2 linked regions of the Sus scrofa genome follow. The protein of the gene in region 2 interacts with the protein of the main gene of each other region in a biochemical or structural test. Links are inferred from orthologs where the notes say so. Each region holds a gene or a part of one and is shown on either strand. Other genes may lie near its edges.

Region 1 (4,156 bases), on a different chromosome or scaffold from region 2:
TATTTAAAATAAGCGCAAGTCATCCCTTCATCCTCCTAGGGTGAGGTCACCAAAACACCGTACCAACCTACCAAATTTCAAGTCAGGGAGAGTAACAGGACAAACTTTCAAACTCTATTTGGCACACTACTCAGTGAAGAGATTTAAAGCATCAAGTTCCCTTTTACTTTACATTGTTTTAATAAAGGTATCTCGGCGTTCCCCTCAGGGGCTCAGCGGAATCATATCTGACTAGCATCCATGAGGACACAGGTCTAATCCCTGGCCTCCTTCAGTTCATTAAGGACCCGCTCCGTTCCCTCCTTCCTGTGGCTATGGTGAATGGACCCCTAGCCTAGGAACCTCCATATGCCAAGGGTGGGGCCCTAAAAAAAAAAAAAGAAAGAACAGTAAAAAGAAAAAAAGAAAGGTATCTCCAGCTAACCCACCATTTGGATTCCTTACTGTCTTTCTGGTTTGCCACCTTAAAGTTTAATGACTCTACAACCGACAGCAGGATTTATAAACTATAGGGGTTCCCAGGAATCTACTATAGATACTTTAAGGGTCATGGGAATCAGAGGACACTACTGAAGGATAATGGAGGTTAAAAAGTAGCTTCTTCCAGAGACATAAGAGGAAGAGAGCAAAGAAAAAGAACCACTGCTTGAATTCAACTTAAAAATCAACAATGAAATACCATGAAAAAAATTTGAGTTTCCCTGAAATTTGGTAAATTGAGGTTCTCAAAGAGAACAACAAGAATCCCCAAAATAGCCTAGAATAGCCATTTTACATCACCTATTGATTCATTCACTTGCCTCAACTCTCTAAATCTAAAAAATCTCTTTAAATTCCATCCGAAAACATCTATCTCTACCCATTAGAGTTTTTACTCTGCCAAAATGAGTTATTTATTCCTCATGCAATCTGTGGAGAAAGCTCTATTCAAAACAGTTCATAAGTGCAACAGGTGAGAAGTAAGACGGTAATAGAATTCATTGTGATAGAACTGTCTGGGTAGGTATTAGTAAGAAGTGGGATGACAGCCTTGAGAAGGGTCACAGATTAGTGATTAACAGGACAAGTAATGTGAAATCAGATTCGGTGGTCACTAATAATAGTAATGAAAATTCTTACAAACTTCAGCAAGATATGGGAGAGGCAAGCCACAACAGCTGCATGTGGACAGTGATTAAAAGAAAAAACAGAAGAAGGCACCGAGAAAAACAATTAGGGCCTCCAAGGCCCCTTTTCTCCTCTTTAAGAACATATAAACCATGAGGAGCGGTTAAGCTACCCTCATGGAGGCAGACCAAATGCAGCAAGAGGCAGTTTGGGAAATAGGAAGCCTGCTGGGGGTGGGGGTGGGGAGGGGGTACCGTACCTCTTGGCGCTGGTGGAGAGGAGTTTGGAGTTTTTGCTCATGCTGACTTTACTCTCCTTCTTCTTGGGGGTGTTTGTTTCTTTCTCGGTTTGCTGGTTGGAGGACGAAGATGAGGAGGAGCTGGTGCTGGCCCTCGAATCGTCATCCGACATAGCGAACCCCCCACCCCACCCCGCAAACAGCCCCTGCAGGGGGAGGGAAACAAAACAGAAACACAAACCATGCAGCCAGTGTAAATAAGGAACTCGGGCGCTGTCAGGAGGGCTTCGGCCGGGGGTGCACCCAGCCGCCCACCGCCCTCCACTCGCTTTTCAAAGTCTTCGGGCCCATCATGGCTTTTGCAAATTGGACGCGGCTTGTTTGTTTATTCGGGGCCCCATGTGGGGGACGTGGTGGGAAAACGGTTGGGAGGGCAGAGAGCAGCCCCTCCCTCGCCCCCCGGGGCTCCCCTCCGGGCGGGGAGAGGAGCAGCCGGCGGGCGGGGGTGCGGGGCGCCCGGCCGGGGCGGGCAGGGAAGGTCCCGGCGGCCAGCCGGCCTCGGGCTGTTTTCGGCGGCTTTCCGGGGGTCGTAGGGGAGCTGGGGGCCAGCCGCCGAGTTTGGCGAGGTCAGGAGGAGAGGAGGGCGGAGAGGAGTAAGAGAGGAAGCCGAAACGGGGGGACGGAGGCGGGCAGCGGGGGCCCGCGTGGGGGAAGGGAGAGGCCGGAGGGGGGTAGGAGCGACGAGGCCCGAGGCCCCCGCCGCGCCCCGACGCCCCTTGCCAGCCAGCCCCCGGACCGTGCGGGTCGGGTCTGCGCGGCCCGGGCGGGGGTCCCAGGCACACGCCCGATCGGCACCCCGGGTGGGGGCGGGGGTGAGGGGGGGACTCGGCCTCCTCTGCTGAGGAATAACAATGAGCCCGTGCGCCCCGGAGGGGTTAATCCCCACGGGCCCCCGCCCCAGGGGAAAACGGGGCTCCCCGCCTCCCCTCCCCCGTTCCCGGCCCCTCGGCGGCCAGCGGGGGGCTCCCGGGGCAGCGCTGACAGTTCGAGCCCTGTGCCCCCCGCCCCCGACGCGGGCGGCCCCGCACCCCACGCGGCCCGGGGCCCTGCCCATCCCCCGCGGGCGGGCCCGGACCCCCGGAGCTCCCTAGCCCCTCTCCGCGCCCCCGGCCCCGTGCCCGGCGGCCCGGGCGGCGCGGGTCGGGGGCGGCGGCGAGGGGTGTCCCCGAAGCCCGGCGGCGCGGCCGGGGGGCGGCAGGCGGCGGGGGGGATCCCCGTACCTCTCTTTGTGTCTGGCTGCTCCGTGCCGCCGCGGCGGCTGCTGCTGCGGCTGCGGCTGGGCCTGGCCACTCGTGTCTCTCTCGCTGGGAGAGAAGCGGAAGTGCAGCAACAGCAACTATTAAACAGGCAATGGCTTCCCCCAGCCACACACGCTCGCACACACACTCCTCCTCCCCCTCCCCCACCCCGTCCGGCCGGTCCCACCCACCCGCGCTCCCCTCCCCGGGCACACCTCCGGGGGGCGCCAGGAGCACCCGGGGACCCCGGGAAGCCCGGCCCCTCCCCGCCCCACCCCCACCCCGGCGCCTCGTCGGGACGCGGGGCCAGGGGGCAAGGGCTGTGAATTTTCTCCGGAGGAGTCTGGGGGACCCCTGGATCCTGGGCTGAAGAGGGGAAGCCGTCCCGAGACTGGGGGCGCTGGGAACTGTCGGGAATAGGGCGACCGCGAGGGGAAGTTCTTACCAAAAGGGCTTTGGGAAAGCGGGGGCAGTTTGGTAAAAAAGATGGTAATCTGGTGCCAGGACTTTGGACTAGTGAATACCGAGGGAACTCCTCCTAAAAAGTGATCAGTTTAAGGGAGAAAGAAAGAAATCCCACAACAGGGTTTCCTTTGGGCTGACCCTGGCTTCCCCCTCTGGCAATTTACCTGCTAGGAGCAGAGGTCGGTTTAGGCACGCCTGTGAGAAAATCCCAAGATTGGAGTTTTCTGCTCAGGCACGTGCAATTTTACAATTTTCGATTCTTCCAGTCACTTTTTATAGAAAGAAGTGTTTTATAAAAGTGATACAGTGGATTTCGTGACAGGTAAAACCAACCAACGTCTAAGAGGCTTTCTAATGTGAGAAATCAATGGGAATAAACCCTCTACTACTGAATTAGACTGGATTTAGAATTTTTGCTGTCGGAAATTATATTAAAAGTTTTGAGGACGGCTGCAGCTTCTTCAGCGACAATATAAATGCTATTCAAATCATAAGATTTTAATAATAATCCCTCTAATTCTTCGGAACTCTTCTTTATTTATCGTGTTTACCAAGATTAATTTTTTTTAGTTAAGCCATCAAATTACAATTCAGTTTCTCACTTATTTGTCATTTCAGTTGCAGGAAACTGAAGAGATATGTGTAGTGTAACATATACTAGGTGTGGTACACTAAGCAACTGCCCAGATTTCCCTGGGCCACTCTAAATTATCCCAAACTGCCATCCTTTTCCATAGCAACAGTGTGGCTTCATTTACCACCGGACAACAGAAGACATAAAGCCAGTGGCATATCCAACTAACCAGGAAAACAAGCATTCTTACCACCCACCTAAACCTCTTCTAGTCCTCAACATGAAACTCCAACTTTTTTAAGAGTCATAAAGTAATCGTGCAGACTTCTTGCTCAGTCCTTTCCGGGAAACCTGTATCTGTCTACTTGCAGAAATTGTCATAGACCTGAGGGGTCCAAAAACTGGGAAAAAACCACTTCAGTCATCATTTCAGCCTCCAGCCTCCTACCTCCAGACAGAGCTATCCCTCAATCA
Region 2 (3,513 bases):
GAGATCCCTCTGCTTTTGAAATTCCCAATTCTCATCCACACCAACACCAAGCAGCTGGCACAAGCTAAGCTGGTGCACAAGGACCACCACCTTGCTGCTTTCGACCTGCCTTCTTACTCTACACAGCCCACTTCGAGTTCATCGAGACCCCTCTCTACAGCCCCTCGTGGACGCCCGCACTCGCTCCTGGCCAAGTCCCCACTCGGATGCCATGGGTGGGTGTGTGGAAGTGCAGGGCCCTCAGCCGGCCGCGCCCTGGGAACAGGGTGCTGCCACCCCAGCTCTACTAACAACAGCAGTTTTCCCCTCATGGTGCACCAGCTCAGAGCCCCCTCCCCGCCTGCTATGTCCCTCTCCTGGGCCAGGAACCTACAGGTGACCACTTCTGCTATTCCCCACTCCCCGATCAGCAATCAGGCAAGCCCCTAAAAGACCTGAATTAGAAAGTCATGTAAGCTTACTCGCCGGGACATTATGAATCTAGAATATTAAAATATCATCTGTGAGGTAATGAGATACTTAAAAAATCTCCTTTACACAAATGTTTACAAACCTCCAGCTCATTTTCGTCAAAAATTTTAATCAAATCAATAGGAAGCAGTTCCGTGAATCCCTGAAAGGAAAAAAAAAATCATTCTTAACACCTTTTTCCTTGAAAGAGACATTTCACAGGATAAACTTTTTTCAGTTAGCTAGAAAAATACATTGTTCACTGATGATTTGCAGCTATCAGTAGTTGGTAATTTCAAATAAAAACAGCATAGTCACAATGTAAAATTTTGAAAAGCAGTAGACTCAAGCAGATTCAGGCACTTGAGTAATTTTTGAAACATTATGAAAATAGGGGTTGCTGCAGGCAGGTGGATTCCAAAAGCCACTTATGACACACCACTGTGACTCAGGGTGTCCTCAGAGGCACAGGCATGCAAGTGAGCCATTCGAGAATAAGGTCTGGGAGGCATACAGATGAAAGAGGAGAGGAAGCAGCGTGGTCAGGAGAGAGGAGACAGGGAGTACAGAAAACCTGCCCCAGGTCCCAGGTTAGTGATCACTGACCAATGCGGTGACCCAGCACGGACGCTCCACGTTGCCCAGCCTGGTGTGTGGCTGGTTTCTGAGTGTGTGATTACCTGGGTGGGCCAGGTGGGATGAAACCTGCTGTTCTTGAGTGCGTCTAACTCGCAGGTTACACCCTACGTCCTGGAATTTTTTTTGAGCGTTCTGCCTGGGTTGGCGCTTTGTTCACCATGTGCAGGGAGCTGAGCTGGGGTGGGCTTAAGAGAGCATCGGCCAACAAGAACTCTGCCTTGGTTCACTGGAAGCTTATAATGTAAACCTGGGGCTTTAATACCCGTCATCAGGATTTTAAAAGGAATTGCACTTTGGGTCAAAGGGAGCTATTTTTAAAAACCCCTACTTTCTGCAATGGGCTTCTCCTCAGGTCCTGGGAGCATCGCTGACATCAAGCACTTGAATCTGAGAAGTACGTGCTTCTCCCTTGAATAGGGTGGAGAGTAACTCAGCCACAAGGGAAGGACAGGAGAGTTAAAAATGTTTGAGGAATTCCCACCATGGTGCAGTGGGTTAAGAACCCAACTGCAGCAGCTTGAGTTGCTGCGGAGGTGTGGGTTCAATCCCTGGCATGGCGCAGAGGGTTAAAGGATCTGAGTTGCCGCAGCTGTGGTGTAGCTTACGACTGTAGCTCAGATTCAATCCCTGGCCCGGGAACTTCCATAAGCCAGGGGTGTGGCCGCAAAAAAAAAAAAAAAAAAAAAAAAAGTCCAACGAATGAAGGGGAAGGCACTGTTCCTGGGGAGTGAAGGCCTGGCTGGACACTGCCCTGAGTCCTCACATTTCCTAGATCAAGGGAGCCCAAGACAGAGATGCTCCCAGCCTTCCCTGGGTGCCGCCTAAAACTGCAGGACGATGGTTCTAGCCTCCGTGGGGGAACCTGCTTTTCTGGAGCAAGTATAAAAATGTCTCTTTAAAAACAACACAAATTAAAAAGTGAGAGCGGTAAAGCCAGAAAACACTGAACAAAAGAAAACAAAAGGGTGGCGGGACGCTCCTGTGCTGGAGCCTGGAAATGGTGTGAATAGGGTAGTCCTGCCCTTTCTGCCCGGCCCCCGGCCCCCAGGGATCACCTTCGCCCCCACCTTCACCGCCCAATGAAAAGAGTTGCCCTCTCTCAACGAAAGGCACAGGCGGGAATTCCTAGCGAGCACAACTCACCTCCAGGAAGGCGTTCATTTGCTTCTGGACCCTGTTCACAAATCTCCACTGGATGACGAGGCTGCGGGAGGAAAAGGCAGCAGCATTTAACCATCTTCCTCATCACTGTGTGCCTTTCTTTCCTCACAACTGCAGGGACCTCTCATCAGGGGAAGGAGAAAAGCCCTAGAGAGGCCACGGAGAGAGGGGGCCTGCTGCTGGGGGACTGCTGCTGATATACTGATTTCTTTTTTGACGGGGTGGGGGTGGGTGGGAAGGGGGTGGATAACAAACATATATGACGAGCCTACAATCTCAGCGGGGATTTCACAAGAAAGACCGGTTCCCCCGGCCCTTAGTTTATCAAAGTTGCCTAATAAATGTAACTGCATGGAGAAAAGGGAAAATGCCGTTTGAATACATATGTCTGTGTACAAAACACACGCACACAAACTCACACATGTACACACCCAGACATGTACAAATGTACATATTTTAGGGGGAGTACCCAGTACAATGTATTTTATTGTATGATACTTCATTCTAGTATCATACAATAAAATACACTGATTTTCAATGACGACATAATTTATCAGCACTTTACCACTAATACTTTAATACCAACATTCGGAGGATTAATGGTAAACCCTTTTTGAGTAACAGAAATCCACTCGAAGCATCTTCCCTGCAACACTGTTCAGTGTACAGTGGAATTTACTGCCAGGCGAATCCACTTTGGATTCCATCTATGGTGCTTTGTCATGAAATAGCACAAGGACCTTGTCATAAAGGGCTCTGGCTTACGAGGTGGCGCCATGGCAACAGCCCTTGAGGACCAGCCTGCTGCCCACCCACTGTTCAGCATATCAAGTTTTATTGGCTGCGCTGCCATCAGCTCAATAGCCTGCTTGCACCAGGGGGTACAGGTGGCAGGGAGCAGCTGCAGGCTTCAATCATCCTTTCCGCAGTGAGGCAAGTGAGACTCTGCCCAGCCCCGCTCCCCACCCAATTTGAAATTTAAAAGAAATCACTGCCAAGAATGACACACAACACATATCACAAGGTCCAAATCCTCAGACTTTCGAACTGAGTCACTCTGGGGTGGAGTGATATTAAAAATCTATTCAAAGTCTGTACTTTCAAATGGAGACAATGGTGTCTGCTAGGACATCGTCTGCCTGCTAAGTTCAGAACAAGCGCCAATTAATATGAACAGGTAAGAACTGCAGGATCTTCCTTCTAGTTTTATATTAAGCACAGTAAGCTTTCAACTCCCAAGTGGAGAAGCAGCTCATGCCTTGT

Evidence for each region. The genes of interacting proteins can lie anywhere in the genome.
Region 1: the proteins of NEDD4L (region 2) and ubiquitin-conjugating enzyme E2 E1 form a complex in vitro, tested with the Homo sapiens proteins (2 studies listed by BioGRID). The link is inferred for Sus scrofa from reciprocal best matches to the Homo sapiens genes NEDD4L and UBE2E1.

Annotation. Positions count from the first base shown.
Region 1 is NC_010455.5:10,604,494-10,608,649, reverse strand, and holds the start of ubiquitin-conjugating enzyme E2 E1, read right to left. Parts: upstream 2,814-4,156; 5' UTR 2,626-2,813; intron 1,552-2,625; 5' UTR 1,519-1,551; coding exon 1,367-1,518; intron 1-1,366. UniProt on the Homo sapiens protein: Accepts ubiquitin from the E1 complex and catalyzes its covalent attachment to other proteins. Catalyzes the covalent attachment of ISG15 to other proteins. Mediates the selective degradation of short-lived and abnormal proteins.
Region 2 is NC_010443.5:162,377,316-162,380,828, forward strand, and holds part of NEDD4L (E3 ubiquitin-protein ligase NEDD4-like), read right to left. Parts: intron 2,294-3,513; coding exon 2,233-2,293; intron 614-2,232; coding exon 554-613; intron 1-553. UniProt on the Homo sapiens protein: E3 ubiquitin-protein ligase that mediates the polyubiquitination of lysine and cysteine residues on target proteins and is thereby implicated in the regulation of various signaling pathways including autophagy, innate immunity or DNA repair.